Linked DNA regions of Arabidopsis thaliana. Changing the gene in region 2 together with the main gene of any one other region gives a genetic interaction. Each region holds a gene or a part of one and is shown on either strand. Other genes may lie near its edges.

The links.
Region 1: changes in ABCB19 (region 2) and PIN1 impair growth when combined (synthetic growth defect), as found in Arabidopsis thaliana (one study listed by BioGRID).

Annotation. Positions count from the first base shown.
Region 1 is NC_003070.9:27,654,676-27,667,993, reverse strand, and holds PIN1 (Auxin efflux carrier family protein), read right to left. Parts: upstream 8,322-13,318; 5' UTR 8,223-8,321; coding exon 6,977-8,222; intron 6,825-6,976; coding exon 6,590-6,824; intron 6,402-6,589; coding exon 6,316-6,401; intron 5,666-6,315; coding exon 5,508-5,665; intron 5,412-5,507; coding exon 5,335-5,411; intron 5,185-5,334; coding exon 5,118-5,184; 3' UTR 4,741-5,117; downstream 1-4,740. Other genes in the region: AT1G73580 (Calcium-dependent lipid-binding (CaLB domain) family protein), read right to left, coding at 12,476-12,766, 12,850-12,945, 13,034-13,153. UniProt on the Arabidopsis thaliana protein: Acts as a component of the auxin efflux carrier; this activity is enhanced when activated by D6PK-mediated phosphorylation.
Region 2 is NC_003074.8:10,870,397-10,882,951, forward strand, and holds the start of ABCB19 (ATP binding cassette subfamily B19), read right to left. Parts: upstream 7,183-12,555; 5' UTR 6,891-7,182; coding exon 6,636-6,890; intron 6,555-6,635; coding exon 6,500-6,554; intron 5,625-6,499; coding exon 5,449-5,624; intron 4,831-5,448; coding exon 4,630-4,830; intron 4,397-4,629; coding exon 4,137-4,396; intron 4,043-4,136; coding exon 3,726-4,042; intron 3,640-3,725; coding exon 3,416-3,639; intron 3,334-3,415; coding exon 2,514-3,333; intron 2,435-2,513; coding exon 2,193-2,434; intron 1,100-2,192; coding exon 1-1,099. UniProt on the Arabidopsis thaliana protein: Brassinosteroid exporter that, in conjunction with ABCB1, supports the accumulation of exogenous brassinosteroids (BR) in the apoplast, thus promoting BR signaling initiation involving the specific receptor BRI1 and required for plant growth and stress responses.

The DNA.
Region 1 (13,318 bases), on a different chromosome or scaffold from region 2:
TAGTAATGCCCGTTAGGTTAGAGAGATCCTACAACATTAATCGAGAACAAGACAACACAAAAAATATCAAGGTGTTGTTAATTCTACAAGAAACAAGTAAACAAAAGCTAAAAGAAAATGTGGGGGGGAAAAGGAAATTAGGCGAACCACTTGACACTGCTAAGATCCATATAATGGGAAATTAGTGGGTCTACTATCTTTCTTTGGACCACAACTTGGTTGATTTTTTAGTGCAAAAATTTAAATAAATGAGCAAATAATGAAAGCAATAAATATGATTGCCGCTTGTTGTGATTCTTGTGAATGTACCACTCCAACCGTAACAAACGATCGTTCATCATTCACATTTTTCTTCGTTAATTTTAAATTTTATGAGAAAATGTTATTTACTTTTACAATTAACATTAAAAAAATTCCTTAAAACATAATTTTCTTGGATATTTTTCTAGTCGTATGTTCTTTCTTTAACTTTTTTTTTTTGGACAAAATTTCCTTCTTTAACTTATATTCTGTAAAATATCTACTTTATACAAATGAAGACAATTCCATTATTAATTTTTAGTCTTCAGTCACAAGATAAGTAAAGTACGTATACGAATCAAGTGAATATAACTGAACAACCAGAAGAAAAAAAAATCAAACAATCTAAATTCAATAAATAAAAAAACCTAAATTTAAAAGATTTAAAGACAGCGACCGCTAAGAAAATCACTAGATGTTTAAATAGACTAGCTATAGGTAGTGGTTCTAATGAATAATGAGCCTACACTCCATTATAAATCAATTTTGTTCTTTTGATTTGCCTACTTGCCTTGGTAATATTTATAATTTTCTATAAAAGTATATGCAAAGGACAATATATACTAGTTAAGAATTCTACACATGGGGTTAATGATAGGACCTTGTTATTTTTCACCCGATGATTTAGGGTTAAATAACGAATTATTATCCCCAATTGGGAGCCTATTCTGGTCCCCCACCCATGATTCCTATTTTTCTTCTTATTTATGTTTATATTTCTCCTTGTCTTGGGGCTACATATGAAGATTCTCACTACATCAGACCCGTAAGACGTAAGTAGATTAACAGTTAAATAAACAAAAGATTCGAAAGCAAATATAACATTATAAAATATACAGTGGGTTTACTCGACAGAAAAGTCTTTCGACTTCAAGTCGTCAATATCTTAACGACTTTTCATTTCTTCACAAATTGTTTCAATGTTTCTGAAGTTTTTGAAACCTTTTATGTTATGTAGGGTTTCATAATACTGTTCGGCAGTTTTTGCAATCACCGATGAATAACTTTTGGTTGAGAAAAAAATATATCTGGGAACGTCGAGATATCTACTGACAAACTTATCTGATTGTGATGAATATATTGATGGTGTTTTTATTAGCGATCTCATTTACATCATATAAAAATATGGTGAGAAAAAGTTTGTTAGAACCGTTTGTGCTCTGATACCATTTTATCAAAGGAACAAAATAAATCTCATTCTCATTAATTATGGAAAAATATACATGGAGCAGTTTATATACAGACTCAGATGTGAGTTAAACCGACCCCCTTAACAAGAAATAGATAATAAAACTATTGAACTGGTTTATACCAGTGTACAATAACCAAATGAACCTAGACACTATGCAAGACATATACCTTAAGAAAGGCTATCGACCAAGTCGTTAGATATTCAAAGATGAAATTATCTAGAGAATTAAGATATATTACTACGGTTTTTCAAAGAATATAAGAATTTGGTTTTATGCGAGTTTTATTCAGTTGGAGTTGATTCATATAAAGTTTTAAAATTTGTTTTCGCTATCTCTTTCTCAATTTCAATTCTTTTCGACGAATCCACAATGATTTGAGTAGAACACCTGAACGATGCTGTGTGTGTTATTTATCAAAAAAAAAATGATGCTATGTGTGTTTCAGCTGCCAAAAATACAAAAAGTGCTCCCGTTAATAAAATAGACTAAATTAGCTACTTTGTAGAAGCCTCTAAGAATAAGATAAGCCCATTATAACCTTCTGGCCCAATATTGTGTATATAATGTATTATACAATTCTTTTCAGAAATTAAAACCCAGCAACCTGGAGTCTACAGCCTTCTGATGGATTACTGTAAATGGGCTAAAGAAATGTAAGACCCTGGAGTCTGGACTAATCATATGATTCAAACATTTTTTAAAAAGCTTATATTAGTTACAAATAACGACGAAGGTAACAGCAACAGCATCACATAAATAGGGCCGCCCTGATCACAGCCCAGTGAAACAATTGCTGTGGCCTCAAAAAACATTCTGAAATTATACTAGCCAAAATGGTCCAAAATTAATTATTTTTTATTTTTTTAGCCCAAATTTTCTAAAGCTTCATTTAAAAGTCTTTGGCCCAAAATTATTCAGAGTCGACCCTGCACATAAACTAGTTTGTTGTTACGTTAGGATATAGGAATGTGTAGTGTATGTGTGTAGGCGTGCACATGGGAGCAAGGATTGTTCCTCGAATTCAAAGCCGCATTTGTATTTATTTGTTAGTTTATAAAAAGATTCTAATTCACTATAGTTTTAGAAGACAGATAAGATAACTCTATTTTAGTAAATCCTTAGGGTTTTAGTAAGTCGGAGTATGTTTTCACGTGCAACAAACGACCAATGTTTTAAACGCGACAAAAGGAATTACCGTCACTCAAACATATGATATAAAAATAGTTTATGGGATTGTGGTGATAATGTATACGTGTAAAGCCGGTCTTCAAATCTTAAAATATATATTTTTAATGGTTGAATCCTTTTATCTTCGATGAAAAAAACGTTACTTTTTTTTCATTATGTATACGTCTTTTCAGTTTAATATTCAAATTTGTTGTTGACCTATTTGGTCACGACAGAGGAAAATATTGGCCGTATTTTTAGAAATGAAAAAAATAATCGATGGAGCAGTGTAATGACAAATCATGTGTCGACTTCCAATATCTTATTAAATAATTAGGTGAAGATAAAGCCGTAAATAATGATACTATAAATTAGTTTTTCCAATATATTGTATAGTATTGTATATCGCAAAAAAAAGCAAAGCAATTATGTTTTTATTGGTCGTCATATCGTATCTAATTACCCGTACAAAAGAAAAGGAAAATCTTCTTTTTTTCTCACAATCTCTTCGGGCGAAAAAAAATGTAACAAAAGCAAAATACAATCACATTTTGAAAAAAAAAAAACAGAATCAATAGTAAAATAAATAAATAATACCCAAAAATAAAATGAAAAAGACAAATGACAAAAAGCTCTCAATACTCTGTCTGGGCGACGGCCGACCCAACACCGTCTAGTGGCAGGCAGAGACACTAACATCTGCAACTATGACCTTACGAAATTACGTTTATACCCTTATACTTTTTTACGTCATCCTTTGCATTTAATTTTTTTTTAAAATTTCACTAAAAATCTTAAGTAAATACGAAATCTTTTCCGTGACGAGATTAACTTCTTTATGAGTCCGACAAAAAAAAAACTTCTTTATGAGAAAACCTCGATCCTTTCAAATATCTCATGTAATATCAAAATCTCATGGGTCCAAAATTAAAGGCTTTAGACTAAATGATAGTTATATCATATGCATGGTTTATCAAATTTCTGAAATATTAGATTTTCACGTATATTTTTCAATAAATGGTGAAGACCATTGATTGAGAGCAGAGAATGAACACAGAATTAGAAGCTTCTGAGAAATGTTGGTGTTGTAGTAGGAAAGCGAAGTGACACGGCGTCTTCTTCTTCTCTCTTGTCTCATTCTTCTTTTTATTCCTCACCCATTACTTTTGTTTTTTTTTATTTTATGAATTTGAACAATGTGAATTGCAGGCTTAAATATTTACAAATCGAGCTATAATAATAGTTTTATTAATTGGAAACATTGAAAATTTGAAGAATGCAACGGCGGCTACAGCCGTCTCATGCAGAATAAAATGATGGTTTTTTTTTACGTGAGGGTGAGGCGTGCCATAAATTTAGGGTCGCTTTCTTTAACTATTTTCCTCATTCTAATTATTACGCCTTCATATATTTATTACTATCAATTTTATTTTTATTTTTGTTTTGTATACAGTCATTTCACTTTCTAATAAATTCATTTGGTAACTAAAATAAATAAAAATTCATCATTCCACATATTTAAATCAAGCCAATATTTTTAGCAATTAAATGATTTTCATGTCGAGAGTACAATTCAAACCAAGTTAAGTATTATACATTTGATTTATCATTATATAAGATCGTCGTATAAATATGAAGGTTTGTTTTTATTCATAAAAAGCATCAGCATCTAAGTGGTATGTAATGATTCTGAGAAGAATCGGTAAAAGGATACACAATTGACAACACTAAACGAATCTTTCAAGATTCCACAAACGCAGTGAAGAGGAATCTTGACCAAGTCGAATAACGTAACGCATGCACCAAGTCCCCTATCTTCTACATATTTAATCGAGTGTTCTGTTGAATCCAATACTCGTGTCGTCTGTGTTGTTATAGTCACATGCTATTTCATACCTTCCCACCTAAGCTATTGTAAAGTTTCTAATATTCATGACTACGTTTTAAATTTTCCCAAATCCCCCGTAGAAATCCCTTTCTCAAACATTTTGTGGAAGATGTACTTTACTGTTTTAGTTTCTGATTTTTCACATTTAGGCAAACGAAACATAGAAATGTTAAGTGAACTTAACTTTTGAAATGGCTAAAACACTTCTTATTTTGGTGAGATTTAGACCTATACACACCAATTCACTTTTAGCATGCACACAAAATTTGATATTTTCCTTAACGTTTTTAATTCACTAAAAGTAGCCAAAGCTTTTACAAATTCCTAAAACCTACCAAAAGAGGAAACACGAATGTTCATTAAAATTAAGAAAAAGGTAAAACTTGCTGAGCTCCTACTTAAGTCTCCTTCTTCTTCTCTTCTTCAAGAGCTTCAATTATCCTCAAAGATTCTCTAAAGCTGCTTCTGATTTAATTTGTGGGTTTTCAACAAAAAGGGCATTGTTCTTTTCACAATTCATCATCCCACAAAAGAATAAAACAAAGTCCCTGTGTTTTGGTAATATCTCTTCATAGACCCAAGAGAATGTAGTAGAGAAGAGTTATGGGCAACGCGATCAACATCCCAAATATCACCCTGCAACAAAAATCAGAACTCACGTTAACAAAAATATATTTATATATACACCTAATCATAATTAATGTAGGCAAAACCAACCTAACTTTTTTTCTACAACAAAATTTATTGTTATAACAACAAAACTATTTAATAGATTAATAAACTTACGCAGTGCTAAGAATGTCAGGATGCACATTATACTCTTTGGCAAACACAAACGGTACTATTCCTTGCGGCAAAGCTGCCTGTTTGTTGTCAATAAAAATAATGGTTAGAAATCGTATAAACGACAGTAGACACAACAGAAGTGTTTCATATTTGATCATGCAAATAAAAACTACCTGGATAATGGCAACATGGAGGAGGACGCCACGGAGGCCAACGGCATAAGAAGCAACGAGCATGACGGCAGGTCCAACGACAAATCTCATAGCCGCCGCAAAAGCTGCTCTTCTGTTTCCACAAGCTATTATTCTTGGGTTTAACGCCATGAACAACCCTTTAACACATCCAAAAAAAGCCACAAATTTAAACAAATAATTTATTATTGTTTTGCTTTTTGGTTAATTTAAGTTTATACACTGTTTTTAGCTGCAAAAGAGTGACATAAAAATAATCATCACAGCCACTGATCCACCACCACAACATTAACATCATCATTATCGTTATCCTAAACTATTCATTCCATAAAGTCATGATTAAGCACAAATTTTATAATCAGTTGATGGAAGTCTACTGAAACATAAACAAGGTAAAAAAGAAAGTTTTTTCATCGATAAGGGGGTCAATATTAGGTATAAAAAAATTGTTTGTTGCTTTAAGAGAAAATAAAAAATGGTTCCTCCTATTCAAGGGAGAGACATGTTATGATGATAAGCAGAGAACTGTGGAGCATGCTTTCTGCTGTGAAGCCAGTTTTGTTTGCTTTTTTGATACAAACATGTTTCAAAAAAACTTCAAAGAAAAAGAAAACAGAGAGAATCATGCTTCCACATGATTTGTTTTTTTTCTTAAAATCATTTAAAATTTAAAAAACACCATAAAGAATGAAGGTCAGAAATAAAGAGAACAATTGACTGTTTTATGGTATTTAATTATGTAATAAATGAAAAGAGGTAAAAATAAAAGAAAAGAGAAAAAGGAACTGACCAAGACTGAACATAGCCATGCCTAGACCTGCATCTGAGAGTATGGAGATAGACTTTGCTATAAGAGCTGGCATTTCAATGTTCCACCTGCACAGACCACATCAATTTAATTCCAATAAAGAGATCTTTCTCAAATCTTTTGTTACTTCAATCTATCAGAAAAAACTTTCAAACATATACGCATTCAAGGCTGACCCTTTATGCATCAAGAAAGTGGTTAAAATAGTAGACCAAAACCAAAGTAAAGTGAAAATAAGACAAGTTTGAAACAGTACTTGAAGGAAATGAGGGACCAGGTGATGCCGAATAAACTGGAGTAAGAGTTGGGATTACGAATAAGTTTCCTCCAAACCATAATGAGAATGAGTCTTGTCATCACACTTGTTGGTGGCATCACCTTAGCCTGCGTCGTTTTGTTGCTTATGTTGTTCCCACCGTCCGTTGCCAATACTTTGCTATCATCGTCTTTGTTACCGAAACTAAACTCTTCCCTCTCCACGTACTGGTTGTCTAAAGTAAGGCAACAACACATGTAAACAATTAAAGAACCCCTTAACCAAATCATAAATATCGAAGGACATAGAGAAATTTTGGGGGTGTTTTTGTAAAGAAAATAAATTAGGGTGCGAAAACAAAACAACAAAGTTATAGAGGGACTATACCGTTACTATTCCCCTGAGGTACAGAGATCTTAACGTCCTTTTGATGATCGTTCGTAGCGGTGGAGTAATCGGCGTGGTGGTTTCCTCCTCCACCGCCGAACACATCTGAGACCGGCGAAGCACTTGAGCTCCACACAAACATGTGAAGATCTCTTCCGTTTCCGTCTTGTCTTTTCCCACCAACCACCGGAGCGTTTCCTTTCGCCGCCGTGCCTCCACCACCGCCAGTGTTGGGCGAAAACATCCCTGGGTTCGGCGCCGGATAATGCGCTCCTCCACCGCCACCACTTCCTCCAGATTGATAATGAAACCTCCCAGCTCCAGCAGCAGTTCCAGCAGCCGTCGGTTTAGCAGGACCACCGTCTTCTTCGTAGTTGGAAGGTCTCGGAGTAGGACCTTTAGAACCAAACACAGCTTCTCCAGGACCAAAGTTAGAGTTCCGACCACCACCAGAAGCCATCATCGAGTAAAAATCAGTATGATTAAAACTAGAGCCACGTGGCGTTGGGTTTCTTGAACTCTGAAGCGAATATATCTCAGCGTTGGTTAGATTCGAAGGTCTAGGTGTCGCAGATAAGCCTTGAGACCTTCTCGAGTAAATATCAGACCTTGAAGCATTAGAACGACGAACAGTAACATGAAGCTTCCCATCTTCTTTAATCTCAGCTTCAGTTTCCAAAGGTTGTCTTCCATCTAAAGACATAATGTCGGAATCAACATGAATCGAAACAATAGATCCTGCTGTGTCTGGAAACTGCTCGGAGATCAAAAGCTTAGCTCCACGGTACTCAAAGAGAAAGAGCATGAGTGTGTACCAAATGATACACTGAAGAACAACGATTTGAACCATGAGGTCGCCGGAGAAATTACCATACATGCCTTTGAGAAGAGGTATCCCCATGACTAGAGTGTTGGGGAGTGTCGAGAGAGAGAAGAGAGTTATGGTCCAATCTAAAGAACCGTTGCGGCTGAGTTTGCACCAGAGGAAGAGGAGAGAGAGGACAATGACTTTCTGGAGAGAATCTGCGGCGAGGAAACGGAGGTTCATGGCGTAAGGGTTGTTAGCGGCGATGAAGTGGAAAGAGAGGAGAGGAACGGCGAAGAGAGCGACGAAACGGTTTATGCCGGAGCATTGGTCTGGTGTGAAGATTTTCCACCATTTGACAGAGCCGTAAGCGAGGATCATAGCTACGTATAACGGAACCATAGCCGTCATAACGTGGTAGAAGTCCGCCGCCGTAATCATCTTTTGTTCGCCGGAGAAGAGAGAGGGAAGAGAGAAGAGCTTTTGTCTTTAGTTTGAGAGAGAAGTGGTGAAGAGGGAAAAAAGAGTAAAGTGAGTGTTGAGAAGAGACCACATTTTTATATTCTTTTTATTTTATTTTTTTGTCCGTTGAGAAAATACCATATTTTTTAATTAAACATATATATATTTTGTTAATGAAGCTAAAACTGTTTGCTGATTTTATTATTTTCGTTTTCGATTATTTGGTTAGTTTCTAGATATTATATTCAAAAGTAGTTTACGTGTAGGAGTAAAAAAACATTAAATGTAAAATTGGAATAGCTCAACATATTTATTTGTTTTGTTAAACATTCCAACATAATAGTGTGTGTGATGTAATTTTGATTGAAATACGACAAAAAGAAGTTTTTTTGAATGTAATAAAAACGAAATAAAAATGGTGGTTGATGGGTGCGTGGTGGAGCTTTGGGGATAGTGAAAGAGGCGGCCTTGTGCGCTTTGCGGAGTCCAAAGCAGAGCCTCTGTTTTTGCCTCTCTCTTTTTTTTTTGGCCTTTTCAAATTATGAATTAATCTATTCGGTTGATCAATTTATCCCCTATACTAATTATTAAATTTATATTTTTACCATGTTTAAAAATTGTTAAATTTATTTTTGCTATAAATTATTGTGATTAGTATGATGGGATTTTTGGTATTGACTTTCAATTGATAAATCACAACAGAAGATAAATACACATTGAAGTGATGATATAAGGCTCGATTTGATGTTTATATGAACTTAGAAAATTTTGGTTTTAAAGATAGAAGTCTTCTCCGAAGAGAGGTTGAAAGTCTTTGGAAAAATGGTTGCAATTGAACAAACTAGTTCCTAACCAAAGACTTTGTGGGTGGAGATAAAAGAAAAGATGTGATATCACTAACATAAGGTCGAAATCACTTTTTCATGTGAGATGGGTGTGTGTGAGTTATCATTGCATAGGTTATCATTTACAGTTGTAGTTGCGCATACGAATTATTTATGAACTATTCAATCCTTTGATCGCTCATCTTGGAACTTATTTTCTTTTACTGTTTACTGTATAACATTACTAACAAAGTTTTATAAAATATATTTCGTTGAGAAAATTAGTAACAAAGTTTTATTGAACATAAATACGTAGAAGTTTTTTGAAAGAAAAATGTTGAAAAGAGGGTGGTTCTGGTTTGCTTACACAAATCAGTCTGATGTGTTCTTTAATACTACTAATAAAGTCCGTACAAAAAGCAATGGGTTGATGATATAATGAGGAGTGTTGATATTTGAGGAAACACAATATTCCATCAACAGTCTGCTCTTCATTTTTCTCATCATCCCATACAAACACAGTTCTTCTTTTTTTTTTCTTTCCAGCTTTTTATTTTTCCAATGTTTTCAACTTTTTTTTAAGCATAATAATAATATATAGTACTAATATAATTCGACTTTCCTTGCCATTTCTTGCGCTTAAAGAGACTATACACACAAAAAAAGTAGGTTATGCAATCCGAATAAAGTAAATATGTTGAGAAGTTACGAAAAAATAAAAGAGTTGATGACTTAACATCATTTTTCTATTAAAAATTATAAATCAAGTAGTTTCTATTTTTTTTTACTGACAAATAATTTTAAAATTGGTTCTTTGAAAGAATTGAATTTTTAACACGGCAAAAAAAAAAAAAAAATTGCAGGATTTTTTCACATTCCATATAGTTAATGATATTTTGGATCTTTCAAATTATTTGTCACTAATCCATTAATCTTTCAATCTTTTGTTGTGCAAATCCTTGTTACAACTGCGACTTTGTGTAATATTGAACTCAAATTAACGTTTTTTCTAATACTCTATGTTTGCACGGCTTGACTTATGGTTATGGGTGATGGATGACCTTTTAGCAAATACTTGAAACGAGAAAATTAAAATTGATCTTTTAGCAAACACTTGAAACGGGAAAAATGGAAAAGAGAGTAAGATAGTTTGGTTTAATAAAGCAAATTTTGACTAATTAACACTTTATGATCTATATTGACCTGCTTTAATATACATAAAGTGAGTCTTATGGCTGATACTAAAAGTCGACAAACTAATCTCAATAAATACGTTAATCAATGGGAATGATAAGTGGATACATGTTTTGCATCAAATTATGCTTTCTTTTGGGTTTTCTTCAAAATTTATATAGACCGAAATATCACTAGTTAACAAAATCGCTCGAACTCATAATTCTTTTTTAATAAGAAGTATAAACTAACTATGTGGTTTTGAAATGAAACTTTGGCGACAACGCCAATGGAATAATTTACAAATTTGACTAATCTTTTTATTGGCTAAAAGATAAATAAAAAGATTACTATAATGAATTTTTTTAAAGTTTATCAACAGAAGATTAATGGTTGCCGAGTTTAAGAAAATATTTGATATTGATTCTCGTTAGTCGTTACTGGTTAATGGTCGAAATGTAGATGATCATTGGACTGTCTACGGTGGAAGCCTCCCATTGTATTTTTTATATCTTTGCTTGGCTTCTCTATTCGGTTTAACATTCATGAGAAAGAAAATTATTGTACTTGATTATTTTTCAAAACCTAAATAAGACTTGAATAACAATATATAGCGAGATGTCCAGCTAGCCGTTGTATTTGAAAAGTAGGTTATTCACTTTATACATCTTCCTCACGCCTTAAAAATTACAAAAGATGTTGTTTTTATGCATAGCCATTTGCCACAATTGTATAGTTTAATTATTCAAACTATTATGAGTCTCATAGTCATTGGGTGACTAATTGTTGTAGAATCAATTAGAAATAGACGGTTGAATAAAAAACTCAAATGGATAAATTATGAATCAGAAAAGAAAACTTCATAGTTTGGTTATCAATCAGAACTCATAAGTACCGTATACAACTGCATGAAATTAAAAGAAATCAACTTAATGATTAATTTAATTAAAAGTTAGTACAATGTAAGCATAGCTTTTCACGCAACCCGAAAATAATGCATGTTGAAGGTCCATGCGTTTGTGCTTAAACACGCTTCGCTAAAGCATGCCTTGTAATTGTAATCAAAACAAATAATCCCACTAATGAACGGATGATGACTAATGAAGATTCATGTTTGGTACGAAATGTTTTAAGCCCTTTTGAACAAATACAACAGATGATGGACACACACACACAAATCGACGACATAAAACTTGATTTGGAGGATATCCGGAAAAATAGGCTATTCACATATCATCCGACTCAGCCTTAATGATTATGTTGTTTTTATGAATGGGTTTACTCTATTTAATTTGTCTTTAACTTATTTTTAATACGATGTTGAAGTGAAATAATCAACAAATAGTTATAAACGTGAAGAAAACAATAAAGGAGTAGAAGAAAGAACAGAGCGAGAAACAGGAGGGGCATGCGTAAAAGAAGTTAATGATGGATGAGGGTAAAATGGGAAAATTAAAGTAGAGGCGTGACACTTGTCAGCTTCATTAAGCTCCAACTCAAATGTTTTTCATTATCTACTTTCGTCATGATTATAAAACATAGGGGATGTTTAAGAAACGAATCAATAATAAAGGGTCTATTTTACAATTTCGAAAGTTTCCCCCGACCAAAAGAAAACATCAGACCAAATACCGATCTACGGCTACGAATCAATGTGAAAAAAGCATATATAGATGCTTTCGCTAAACATATATTTTTTAAAAATTTAATCTTTTTTTTTGCACGGTTTTGGGTTCTCTAAAAGGCTGAACCTATAAAAGAATATATAGAAATAGAACAGAGAATATTTAAAAGGATCTGAAAAATTACCAACTTTTTCTTACTTCGTTTCAAAATACAAATTTGTGTTCCTCAAAAGCTGCTATTGCTGCAATAAAGTTATCTTTTTCATCTCTTTCTTTTTCATTTTCTTCACTTCGTTAAAAGGAAAAACCAAAAGAGAAAAATAAAATAAAAGAATATACGAAAGTAAAATATCTTTGTCCTCACGATTCCTTCAAACTAAACATCAATCACTAAAATTCGTGCCGCCTTGGGCAGACACAAACCCAATGGTTTCACACACACATTCATACTTCAATATCATAATGTTCATAAATATTTCAAATGTTTATTTGTGAAAAATAACTCCAGACCGAATCCAATCGGATCATAGGCCTCATATTATATTTATATAATGGGCTTATCCCAATAAATAAGTTTAAAAAGCCCAATAAGGTAACTTTCGAAAATTGTTTACAAGCCTTTAGAACCGGGAAGATCAATCCATTGGAGTTCAATCTCAACTTCACCACGCTCGACGTTACGGAGTCGGAGACAAATGTGCTGAACGATTCGATCGTTGATCCAACGGATGTAGCTTTCCTCGGCTAAGCAGTTGCCACGGCTTGGACCGATGGTCGATATGATGGTTCCGTCTGGTAAACCGGAGAGTTCCATTCGTAAGGCTTCGATGTACGGTTTCAAATCGATCTCTGCGTCTCCCATTTTGTCGTCTTTGCTGAAGAAGTCGTGATCGTACACAATCTGTTTTGATTTAAGCAAATTCGATGTGTTAATTTGTAGACCGGTCCACGGTTTAGAAAGTAGTGGTTTGATTTGGAATTTACCAGAGTAAGCGGGAGATTAGGGTCGGTTACTGTGAATGACAAATCTTCTTGCCATTGTGGGTTTACGTTTTGCTTCACCACTTTGGTTTTGAGTTTCTGCAAAAGAAATATGAATTATGAGTTTTTGAAAAAATTAATCGTTGAAGTTTGAGGAAAACGAGAGAGAAAGTGAGAGAGAGAGAACCTGACGACCTAGCTTGAGGACGACGTAAGGATCGCTGCTGGAAACATCACGTACGGCGAGGTTGACACCGCGTTGGACACGAACGCGGAGGATACCTAACAGATTATCCATAAGCGACATTCTTCTCCGACGAGACGAGATGCGCGATTACTGATTCAAACGAACGAATCAGAATCTGTATAGATGAAAGTGAAATGTGGCTACTACTCGAATATTGTTGATGATGCTTATTATAAAGGGGATCAATAATTATTCATTGATTGGAATATTTGATTGTTATATAAG
Region 2 (12,555 bases):
CAATGCAATCAACACCTCTTATGGTGGACAAGCGGTGAGCAACTACCACGGTGGTCCGACCTCTCATGAGCCTCTCTAACGCCTCTTGCAGCACGCATTCTGATTCTGCATCTAGTGCGCTAGTTGCTTCGTCTAGAAGCAACACTGTAGGGTTCTTGAGCACAGCTCTTGCTATCGCGATCCTCTGTTTCTGTCCACCTGATAACTGCACTCCTCTTTCGCCTACTGGAGTTTTGTAACCTTCAGGTAAACCACTGATGAAACCGTGAGCATTTGCGGCTCGAGCTGCATCAATTACCTCGGATTCAGTTGCACCATCTTTACCATAGGCGATGTTGTCGAAGATCGTTGCTGCGAAGAGAGCTGGTTCTTGTTGAACAAGACCGATTTTGAGCCTTAGAGATTTCAGGTTTAGCCGGCGGATGTCTTTGCCATCAATCATGACTTTTCCAGCAAGAGGGTCGTAAAACCGCTCGATCATCGCAATTACAGAACTCTTCCCTGACCCACTCGCGCCCACAAGAGCTTGGCTATGTCCAGCTCGAATTCTGAGGTTAAAGTCCCTGAAAACCATGACGTCGGGTCTTGAAGGGTAAGCGAAATCAACATGCCTAAACTCAATGTCTCCACGGATCGTCTCCACGGGATCAGCATCAGCATCATCCGGGTCAATCCTGGTCTGCCTGTCCAAGACCGAGAAAACCGAACCAACAGCTTCACCTCCCCGAATAATTTCAGGAGCAAGACTGACAGTTTCAGCAACAGAGTTTGCAGTAATGACCAAAACCACAAACACTTTGATCACTTTGGAAAAGGTTGACACGCCTTTACTCACAAGGTGGGCACCATACCAGAGAATTAAAGCCTCAGAACCATAGAGAGCAAGCTGCGAGAGGCCAAATAGGAAACCCGAGGTTTGACTTCGGTATAAGCTTCTTTTCTGAGGTACACGAAGCTCATGACAGAACAAAGAGAGAATCTTGCTCTGTGCATTGAAAGCTGCTACGGTTCTAATGTTACTGACTCCTTCACCAGCAATCATTGAAGTCTTTGCATGAGCCTTAGCTGTGTCTCCAGCAAAACCCTTCAGAGATAGTTGCTGCAATGTAGCCACATATATTAATACTTATGATTTAGAACAACAGATGGTAATAATAGTTCACTTGTAAAAAATAAGATTGACAATCAAAGGTCTAAGTCGCCACTAAAACATGACGTAGAACCATATAGTTAAATCACATATGCAACACTCTATCCCATCAACATCAGTACAAGTACAATGCCTATCTATGTTCTTCTGTGTGAAATCTATTTGATAGATTTTTCAACTAATAATTAGATCACGGGTGAAAAAATGTTGGTGATATATCAAAGCAGAGTCCTGAACCTTGCAGCTAGTTAGAAACAAAAAAAAAACTCATCACAACCTAATCTACCAAAACAAAGAAACCCACAAGCAAACATTGACTAGTGGATGGTGTAAAAACACTGACACACACACTGTGATAAGTAAATAATGCACTGAGACAACAACTTTGACCAATGAAGAACTCTAAATAAAATATTGGTTCTAAGAAGGAAAAAAATTGCAGATTTTTTGGATTTTTGTGGTGAGGTTTTATGGGCAAAAGAATTAAATAAAGAGAGAAGTGGGATCACAGTTCAGAGTTCAGAGAGTGAAGTAAATATGAAAGCTTAAAGTAGGATAGATTTAGCAGAAGCAAAAGACAGAGGAATCTTAGCTATTTTCGTGAACACTGTTATCTATGGGTCATAGTACCAATAGAAACTATATAATAAATATTCTTCACACATGCCCAGAGAGTAAACTAAAGCCTACTGTTTTTTAATTTTTTTAGCACATTTATTGATGTGAGGGCTCCATGATCTTGACCCTTACACTATTTCCAAAAAGTAGAAAAAAAAAGCTTCTTAATAATTCTTTTATGATTATTATTGTAAACATAAATGCAAACTTGGATAAAGTTAGAAGATGAAGCACGTGTAGAGGCAGTGGCTGTGTTGCCATGTTCTATAAAGTTTTGAACTTTTGAAAAGCAAATATAAATTTATAAAAATCTGGCCTTTTGTCGTTTTTTCTTAAGATCATAATGGTGAATGCAAGATTCCAATTATATTTTAATGATTGATGAATATTGAAAGATTTTGAGTAAAAAGATTAGATTATTTACCTGAGCAAAGTTAGCGAGGACTAGAAGTGGGAATGTGCCTAAGATGAGAAGTGAGACTCTCCATTCTACTATGAAGGCGACTATGAAGGATGTGAGAAGTGAAGTCATGTTTTGTAGAATTACTGAGATTCTCTCGGCTATAGCGGATTTAACATCTGCTGCATCAGTAGCTAAACGTGCAGCGATCAGGCTTGAGTTGTGTTCATCCTCATCGAACCAACCAACTTCGTTTCTCAAGATAGCTAAATAAGAACAATCAAGAAACCAAAATAAGAAATGGGAAAGTGATTTTAAGCAAATTCAGGAGATTTTGATACATACCTGAGAGCATCATTCTTCTTACTCTTGTTGTGAGGTTTTCTCCCATGATGCTAAAGAAGTAATGTTGGATCAAATAAGCACCCACAGCATAGAGACCAGCACCAATGTAGATGAAGACATACTCTTTTGTTTTCCTTTCCATTGAATCATAGTCTGTGTAGTAGAAGACTTCGATCATGTTGCTCATCACAATAGCAAATGTAGGACCAATGAAACCAGAAAGAATTGAGCCTACTGCTCCCATGATTGAGTAAGGCCATTCCGGTGAATTAAGCTTGAGAAGCCTGTAGAAGTAATTTTCAGGGGCACGAGTCTTTCGGTCAGTCTCTGCATTTGAAATCATCTCTATCCGACCATCAGCTCCAGTGCTGTAAGAATAGCTCAGATTCCTCAAACTTCCTGATCTTAAACTGAGTGATTTCGTTGACAGTGAATGGCTCAAACGGGTTGAACGAGTGCGACGAGTTGACGGGTTTGAGAAATCTCGAGTACCAACCATTTCCTGAAACCTGATGAGGGATGCGTAAGCACCGGATTTGGCAATGAGTTCTTCATGTGTTCCGGTTTCAACAACTTGGCCTTGCTGTATCACGGCAATGGAATCAACATTTCTGATGGTGCAGAGACGATGAGCAACAACAACAGTGGTCCTCCCCACCATGACTCTGTCTAAAGCTTCCTGAACAATGCTCTCAGAGCTAGCATCAAGAGCGCTTGTAGCTTCATCTAGTAACAGAATCTTTGGGTCTTTCAACATCGCCCTAGCAATTGCAATTCTCTGCTTCTGTCCACCTGAGAGTTGAACACCACGTTCTCCAACCTAATTGTATTGACATTCAACAAAAAATTAAGCAAAAGGCCATGACATTAACTAGACATATAATCAAATATTTGATTTATACCTGTGTGTCGTAGCCTTTAGGAAGTAATGTAATGAAACTATGCGCATTCGCAGCGGAAGCAGCAGCTTCAACTTCAACCATTGTTGCATCAGGCTTTCCATAGAGTATGTTCTCTAGTATAGTAGTGGCAAAGAGCGCAGGTTCTTGATTCACAAGCCCGATTTGTTCACGCAAAAACTTCAACTGAAGCGTCTTTATCTCAACACCATCCAACAGAATTTGCCCTGCTCATCAAGAAAAAATAAACAAAGTTATGATCCAGTCACTAGCCAAAGACTCAAATAGCAAAAAACAAATTCAATCAAATTACCGCTGTTTGGATCATAGAATCTCTCAATGAGGGAAACAACAGTACTCTTTCCAGAGCCACTCCCACCAACAACCGCCACAGTTTTCCCAGAAGGGAAGAAAATATTAAAGTTCCTGAAGATCATAACATCAGGCCGTGAAGGATAGCTAAAAGTCACATCTTTAAACTCAATGTTCCCATGAACTTGATCCAAACATTTTCCATCCAACGGGTCTTGAATTATCGTCGGTCTCTGGTTAATTATCTCCATCAACTTATAACCAGCCGCTTTACCTTTACTAAACGCCCCAAGATTCGAGAAAGATTGCCCCAAACTCCTAAAAACACACACAGAAACAAAAAGTGACATCCAAGTAATAACAAAACACAAAATACACAAAACCACATCATTGTTATGTTTTGAATTCTTACATTCCACCAACAATAGCAGAGAATATAGCAGTAAACGCCTTTCCTCCATCGGTTTGTCCATTCCGAATAAAAACTCCAGCATACCAAAACACCAAAGCCCATGACATACAAGCTATTCCATAAGTACATCCTAAACCCAACCCTTTAGCCATCCCCGCTTTATAACCGAGCTTAAGCGTATACTGAATCGCATCCGAATACGCATTAAGTGCCTTACTCTCTCCAACATAAGAATAAACAGTTCGAACTTGAGCAATTGCCTGAGAAACCAAAACATCAATCATTAACCGACCAAAGAAAAGCAAAGATTTTGAATTAGTGAAAACACTGTTTAAGTCTTTGGATTGCATAAGAAGCAATGAAAAAAAAAAAAAATCATTTGAGAGATCAAGTACAAAGAAGCAAGCCTAAGAACAGTTAAAAAGCATTACGTCGAACAGTTGGTGGGCATTAAATAAAACAAATAAAGGAACAAACTTTAATCTTTATTTACCTGCTCGGCGATAACACCGGCGTTAGCATAAGATTCACGGCTCTTTGAAGTAATTCCGGTGAGTGTATAAGCGTATAAACCTCCGGCGAAAGCGATTCCGGGAATCACAGCAACACTTAACAAAGCTAATTTCCATGCTGATACAAATCCAACTACTAATCCCGCCAAAAATGTTGAGAGGTAATGTATAAAGTTTCCAACCTGAGAAATTCAATTTTTTTTCAACTACTCTGTTATTAATTCACTTCATCAACAATAAAAAAGAGTGATGATAATAATGAAACTAGGGGACCCAGTGCATGTTAGCTCGTGCTTGCTAACGTGCACCACAGAGACAGGACCAAATTGCAAAAAAAAAAACAGTTTTAGATAAAATGTACTATTAAAATTTGAAGGTACTTTACACATTTTTTTTAATAACAAATATTTATTTTACTTGTTAAAGAAACATTATTTTGCATAATAAATATTTTTCACAATGGAAAAAAAGAAGCTATTTTTATATTAAAAATGTAAGAAAATGAGTACTATATCATTTAAGTTTTAGTTAAATAGTGAAAAAAATCCTCTATTTCTATAGCAAATTTGTAAAAAAAAATTACTTATTTTCACAATCTTATGAAAAAAATCCAACTTTTATTTTAACAAAAAAAAAAATCAATCTATAGTCTTTTTTCTTCCCTAACCACCTGAGGCGCAAGATAAACGACGGTTGCTAACATAAACGGACCCAAAACTTTGATAAAGATTGATCATGAAAAAAATGGGACCCGCCGGTAAATACTAGATTTTGTTGGTAGTAAAAAAAAAAATGGTTACCTTTTCACTAATGGCATCTTGAACAAGAAGAGTATCAGTAGAAACACTAAAGACAATGTCACCAGTTCTAGCATCAGTATCAAAGAACCCAACGTCTTGTTTTAATACTGCTTCAAGATATTTCTTCCTTAATGCTGCTACTTGTCTTTCTCCAGAATACATCCAACATGCTATCTCTGTAAAATTATTTAACAAAAAATTATGGTTATTATTACAAGAATTTTTATGAAGTTGTAATAAATGTGAGAGAGATGCCCATTTTTTTTTTTTTTTCGATATAGACAAAGTAGTAGTCCATGAATCACGTGGACTTGGCTTATCCTTTTAACATATTAAAATTTTTAAAAATTTGAAGTGTTTTTTTTTTATATATAATTTTGATTCTCTCTAGATTGTGATTTCTGTTTCTAGGTTTTTATTTATTGAAGCAAACATAAAAAAGTTGGGTTTTTGTTGTAGAGTAAAAAAATGTTTACCAGAGTAAATGATCACTTTGTGGAAGAATCAAATAAAAACTCAAAAATTACACCTTTAGATTTCTTGTCTATAAAAGCGGTTGGCACGGAAAGTTCGTTCCGAACCCCATTACATCACTTATGTAAACAACATTCTATAAAAATGGTTTTTTTAGTTCTAATCAAAAGCGAATGACAAAAAAAACAAGATTTTAAACAAAGTTTAAGCTTTCTTTTTTTAATATAATTTTGAAGCAAACAAAAAAAGAAGTTGGGTTTTTGTTGTAGAGTAAAAAAAAATGTTTTACCTTCAGAGTAAATGGTCACTTTGAGGAAGAATCAAATAAAACTCAAAAAATACACCTTTAGATTTCTTGCCTAATAATCTGATTTAATTTATGTTAATGGGTTAATTGGTTGAACCAAAAAAAAGAAAATAATGCAAATGTTTAATCTAAACTTTATTAATTTCTTGATCTTGTTTTCTTTTTTTTTTGTGCAAAAAATTTCTTGATCTTGTTTATAATGTGATTTAATTACTGGGTTTCTTGATTGAAGAATAAAGAAAAAGAAGATTGGATTTGTAAGAAACAAACCTGCGTAAGAAGAGAAGCAAACGACCAAACCCAAGTAGACGAAATATAGAGAATACTGCAAAATTTCACAAACACAAAAATTAGATCAGATCTTGGATCTAATTTGATAAAAACAAGAAAGAAAAAAAAGACTTACTCTAGAGACTTCATGAACCATTTGATGTAAATCCATTTGGTTTTTACCAAATCCATTAACCATTTGACCAAAGAGTAAAAAGAAGACAGGCATGGAAGAGCCATGAACAATGGCACCAAGAGAACCAACGAACATTAAGAGATAATCAAATTTATCAGCGAAAGAAAAGAGTTTAAAGAATGGTAAACTCTGTTCTTTCTTCTTCTCTGCTTCTGCTGGAACAGTCTTGGCATCGGTTGTGTTAGTTTCCGACATGGTTTTTTGTAGATCCGAGTTAAAGAAAGTAAGAAGAAACGAGTTGGTTTAGTGAGAAAACGAGATCATTGAGCAGTGAGAGAGAGAGAGAGAAAGAATGAAATGTTTTTTGTTTTATAAAGTTTTTCTTGAAAATCTGACAATTGTTTTGTGAAGTTCAAGAACTCTTTTACGAGTGTCTTGTTTTGAAGTGGTGAGAAGAGAGAGAGAATGAGAGTGTGGTTGGAGAAGGGTGTGATTGGTATATATAGGAGGGAGAGAGAGTGATGAAGACTAGTGGTCAAAGACTCATTGAGACATGAGAGATTGAGAGATTCGTGTTGCTAGTTGATGTAATTAATGTTTAACATTTTGTAAAATGGAAAAAAAAAACAATTAAGGGTTTACTTTGATTTTATTGGATTGTTTGAATTGACTAATTTGTGTTAATTAATGTCATTTTAGAAAGTTTTTTTTTTATAAAGATCTTTTTTGTTAAAGTTATGTTGTGTTCAATTAATATTTTTAAAGTACTACAAATCAAAATCTGGTGTGATTCAATGGTTTTGCATAAGTAGAGATTTTAACAAATCTGCAAGCATTTTTTCTGGTCAAACTATGAAATGGGAATTTTATTGAACATGTCATTGTATAAAAATTCATGTTTAGAGTTAGATATAATCCAATGAAAGTTTGATTACAGTTTTTTTTTTTTTTGGTCTAAATAATTTTTAAACAACATTAGATATTTTATATTTTTATATTGTTACATTAAGAAAACTTGATTTTTGTGTAAATACATATATATATATATATATATATATATATATATGTATAGACAACTTGTCTAAAATTATATAGAAGTATTTCTATGGTCAACATATAAGTATACAAATTTTAGCTCAATTTTTCATTTAAATAAGTAATGTTTAAAACTTTGAAATGTATAAATCCATTAAAGTCTTCATCACAATGATGATGTACTTTGGTTTCTGTCTAATAAGTTTTGAACAACATCATGTATTTTGTATCGTCACATTTAGAAAACATCATATATTTTATTTAATAATTTCTATTATAACTTGATTAATAATTTCTAAAAATTTAGGAAATTTTTTGATGTATATCCAATTAACTCCTTATGACAATGATGAAGAACTTTATATTTTTACTAATAAGTTATAAATGACATCATATACATTATATCATCACACTTAGACAATTAGTATAAAGTTATATGATTCAAATCATAGGGTAAGCTAATCAGTAGCGATTACTTTTTGTGTTATAATAAGCATGTCAAGGGGATCATTACCTTTCTTATGACTACCATTTCATTATCTCCATTTTGTGATAGATCAAGGCTGAAAAATCATACAAATTAGAACGTTATCGAGTATAAATAACAAATGATCGATTAGCTCAGACCATATCATGAAAAATAGATGATCTCTCTGACTCTCTCATACGATTATCTGCATACTAAACAAGCATATGCTATTGCACCCAAACCCGAGATATCGAAACTGTGGGAAGTCGATCTTTAGCAGAAAGAATATCGAGGGATCACTTGTGCAAACCACACAGTTTTACACAATACCTATTATCGAAGGATATATAACTAATCATTTGTTTGAAAAATATGTGTGAGTTTCTCTAGTAAAAATATTAGGATACAAATTTTAGTTAAGTTGTCATTTTAAAATTTGATGTTAAAATCTTTAACTGTATATAAATTCATTAAGTGCGTTTACCAGAATGACGCCAAACTTTGGTTGTTTTATAATAATTTTTAAACAACATCATGTATTTGTAATGTCACATTTAGACAACATCATACATTTTCTAATAATTTTAAAAATTCATGTTTCAATTTCGATATATAAATTTTTGCAACTAATATAAATTCAAGGATCAGCTAGTCCGTTACTGTTTGGTGTTATAACGCATATGTTTTTTTAAAAAAATTCAAATTTATGTTCTTCTCTTGTTTATGAAGTGTAATTTGTAGTACGATACCTCTTATTAGAGTGGTAGATTAATTTAATGGAACATCAAACATTTGGTGAAGGAACTCCAATAAGAATTATGAAGTGGAGAAGAATATGAAATATAATATTTACAACAGATAACCGATTATAACCAGGTCCATTTGTCTTGATTTTTCTTATGTTAAATTCTTGTATATATCGAAAATCTGAGAAAAGTTATGCACTAAATCTATAGATACAAAAAGATCTTCTTTTTTCTTCTTCTTCATACACTTTTAATCAAATGCTAAATTCTGTCAACTTTTTAAGTTTTTCACATATTGTACTGACTCATATTACATTTACTTTCATTATTAATTTAGGAATTAAAATATTTCTATTATAAAACAATCTAAAAAGTAAAAAAAGAGGTGTTGGAATAATAGTTACAAAATTACAACCAACTAAAAGTGACTTAGATTCGGTTATGAATGTAAGAGCAGACCATGTGAAGTGGTTGTCTTTTTGTGTTGCTCTGGTGTAGACCAATGCCACTTCACGGCTTCAACGATGTTTCGTTTATCCCATTATAATTATCTATTTTTATATACAAGAAAATCTAAGGATATATACTCCAACAATCTCAAAAAATGAAAAAAAAAAATATATAAAGAATATTAATGTAGATAGAACGGTCTTTGTAATAATAGTGTACGACGATGCGATTTAATAATCGTCAGAAGTGTAGTATTGATCGTAGAGTTTTAATTATGTATTTATTAAGATGTTGGAACATTAAAGATAGGGATTGTTTGAATTATGTTTCTTCTTCTTTTCAAACAAAAATAATATTAAATTAATTTCAAAAAGAAATAGCGTTTATACATCAAATACAACGTTTTTTTGAAAAAGATCTTAAAACACTAAACCAAAAATTTTTTGATCAATTAATTTTTCGCCGTAAACCAAATTTAGAGACCTTAGTCATACCACCTATCACCGCTTGCTCGAATGGATGATAGTTGGTTCCGTATTTGTTTGTCGACCCATTTAAGTAAGAGAGCTGCATAGTTCGACTTGACGTCATGCCTTCTTCCATTCTTGTCTCCCTAGATGGTGTGAACCGTAGCTTGAAATACATATCGAGCTAAGAAGCTTTCAGTTCTGTCTTTCTAACTCCTTGATATAGTGTGGATCAGATCATGTCAATTCGTAAGATATTTTGTACCGTAGAGATGCTTTGCTAAATCATACTGAAGCGAAATCATAAGAGAAAAAACAAGTGGTCTCCGAGTTTCTAACGCATTGTTGCAAAGAACACAAACAATAGTAATTATTTTTTCTTTTTTGATTATATGAACACTGTTACATAGGATATATTAAAATTCGACGTCATGTCCATAGCTATCTATCTTTTTTTCTAAACAAAAATCAGTGATGAATTTTAAATGATATACGAAATTTTGATATAATTAATTGAAGTCATGAAAATATTATACAAATTTATATTCTTTCAATATATGAGTTTAATATTGATGAAAATTATATATATATATATATATATATATATTTGTGTGTGTTATATAGTGAAAAATAATTGTCCACGCATGTGCTACAATATTGTACAATATTAAATTCTTGCATGATGAGGGTATATATGTTTATGGAATCATAGCTTACCATGTAAGGTGATAATTGTAACTAAATCCGCCATGTTAGTGGTTGGTGTGGATGCACAATCAAATTCTGATTTATCTTGTTTTGTTTCTCTCTTGATATTATATTCGTTTGATTTGTCATCTTTTGTTTCTTTTCTCTTGAAATTATAGACGTTTATATATGACCAAGATGTTTTAGAATAAATTATACATGTTATATATATATACACTGTTTGTGTGTTCATATACATAAAATAAATTATATCTATACATATATATTTATACACCGTTTATGGGCCTTAACTTAGTTGGGCCTAATTCAAAACCCACTATACAGATAAGGGCATACAAAGTTACAAACTGACTAAGTTGTATATTCATAAATATGTCCCTTACGTGAAAACTGAAAGGCATTAGTTATATAATTTCATAGTCATGGATTATGTAATTTTTCTTGGATGTCTTTCAATAATTTATTTGTCCAAACATTCTTGTCTTAAAGTTTTTACACCAAGATTATAATTCGATTTTTAGATAGAATATTTTTTTACCAAATCTTTTACATTGAAAATATAAATTAAATTTCAAAATAACTCATTAAATAGAAATATATCAATTAAATTTTATACAGAAAATACAAAACATTTTTCTTTACAAAACTCTCGGTTTGTAATTTCGAAATCTTTTGATTTGGTTTTCAGCTATCTCGTCTATCTCTTAACAATTTTTCTTTTAGTTTTTTTTGTAATTATGATTAACTATTTAGTACTCATGACTACTAAATAGTGAATACTGATAGGCCAAGTGGCCAAGAGACAATAGATAAAATAGTAGATAGGTGGCTTTGGTTGTTTGCACCCCTTTTCTTGAGCAAAGCATCATAATTAAGTGTTTAAATATTCCTATAATTATTGTTTAACAGAAGATTCAAGATTGGGTTGTGGCCAAAATCGGGGCATGTGATGTGCTGAAAAAGATGTGGTCTACTGTTTACTCCTATTATAATCATTCTTTCTTTTTTCTTTTTTTGATCTCTTGATTGAATTTTTTTTCAAAATACTTTGTTTAACGTGTGTTTTTTTTCCAAACATAATTTTGATATCGTGGTATATATTATACGCAATGCTTTTTATTGTTTCTGAGGAAGCATCGATGTTTGGTAGGGGGACAGAATATACAATAACTAGTTTTACTAATTTTAGAAGTTGATTGTCATTAGATATGTACATTATTAATAATCTGTTTTGGAAAAAAAAACTATTTGAAGACCTAAGATTTATCAAAACTTGGCCTAGAATTTTACCATAGCCATTACTTTCGAAGAAAAATAAACTACTTTTAAATGAGTATTTATTTTGTCAAAATGATTTATGTTTATGAAGAATTAAAATTTGTAGAGAATAAGTTAGAAAATTTCATATGGTAAAATTTGTAGAGAATAAGTTAGGACACATGGACCCATTTTTTAATTACAAATAGAAGCTAAAAGATGTAGGTCTTGCATCAAATCTATATAACTAAACCTATTTTGTTACTTTTCGCCGAACCTAATTGAAATTTTAATAATAAAAAACATTAAAAGGGATCGACTAGTTTGATGACCTTTGTGAGATTTCTCTTTATCATAGACTTTATTAGTTGTTAAAGGTACTTAAAACTCAGCAAAAGTACCTTTTGACCATACGTTTCTTATATATACACCTAATTAGAGACTGATAATTATCACATTTGACAAAATAAACTAATTGTAATAAAACTTAGTACATGAATTATATAAGTTTATTCAAGCAACTCATAAAAACATGTTTGCAAATTATCATTGTTTGCCTTTGAATGGGGGTTGTAGGGTCCAATGATTAATCACTTTTGCTTTGAAACAATTATAGTTAATTAGTTTGTCTTGGTGCCATTGTCACTTTTGAAGGACACTCTTTATAATATCCAAATTCTTTTTGATAAACAATATCCAAATTCTTAAAAACAGTAATCTAGCATTTCTTCATTATGCAGAAAAATATCTCTTATCTCACACTCTATTTTATTCGACACCTTCCGTAA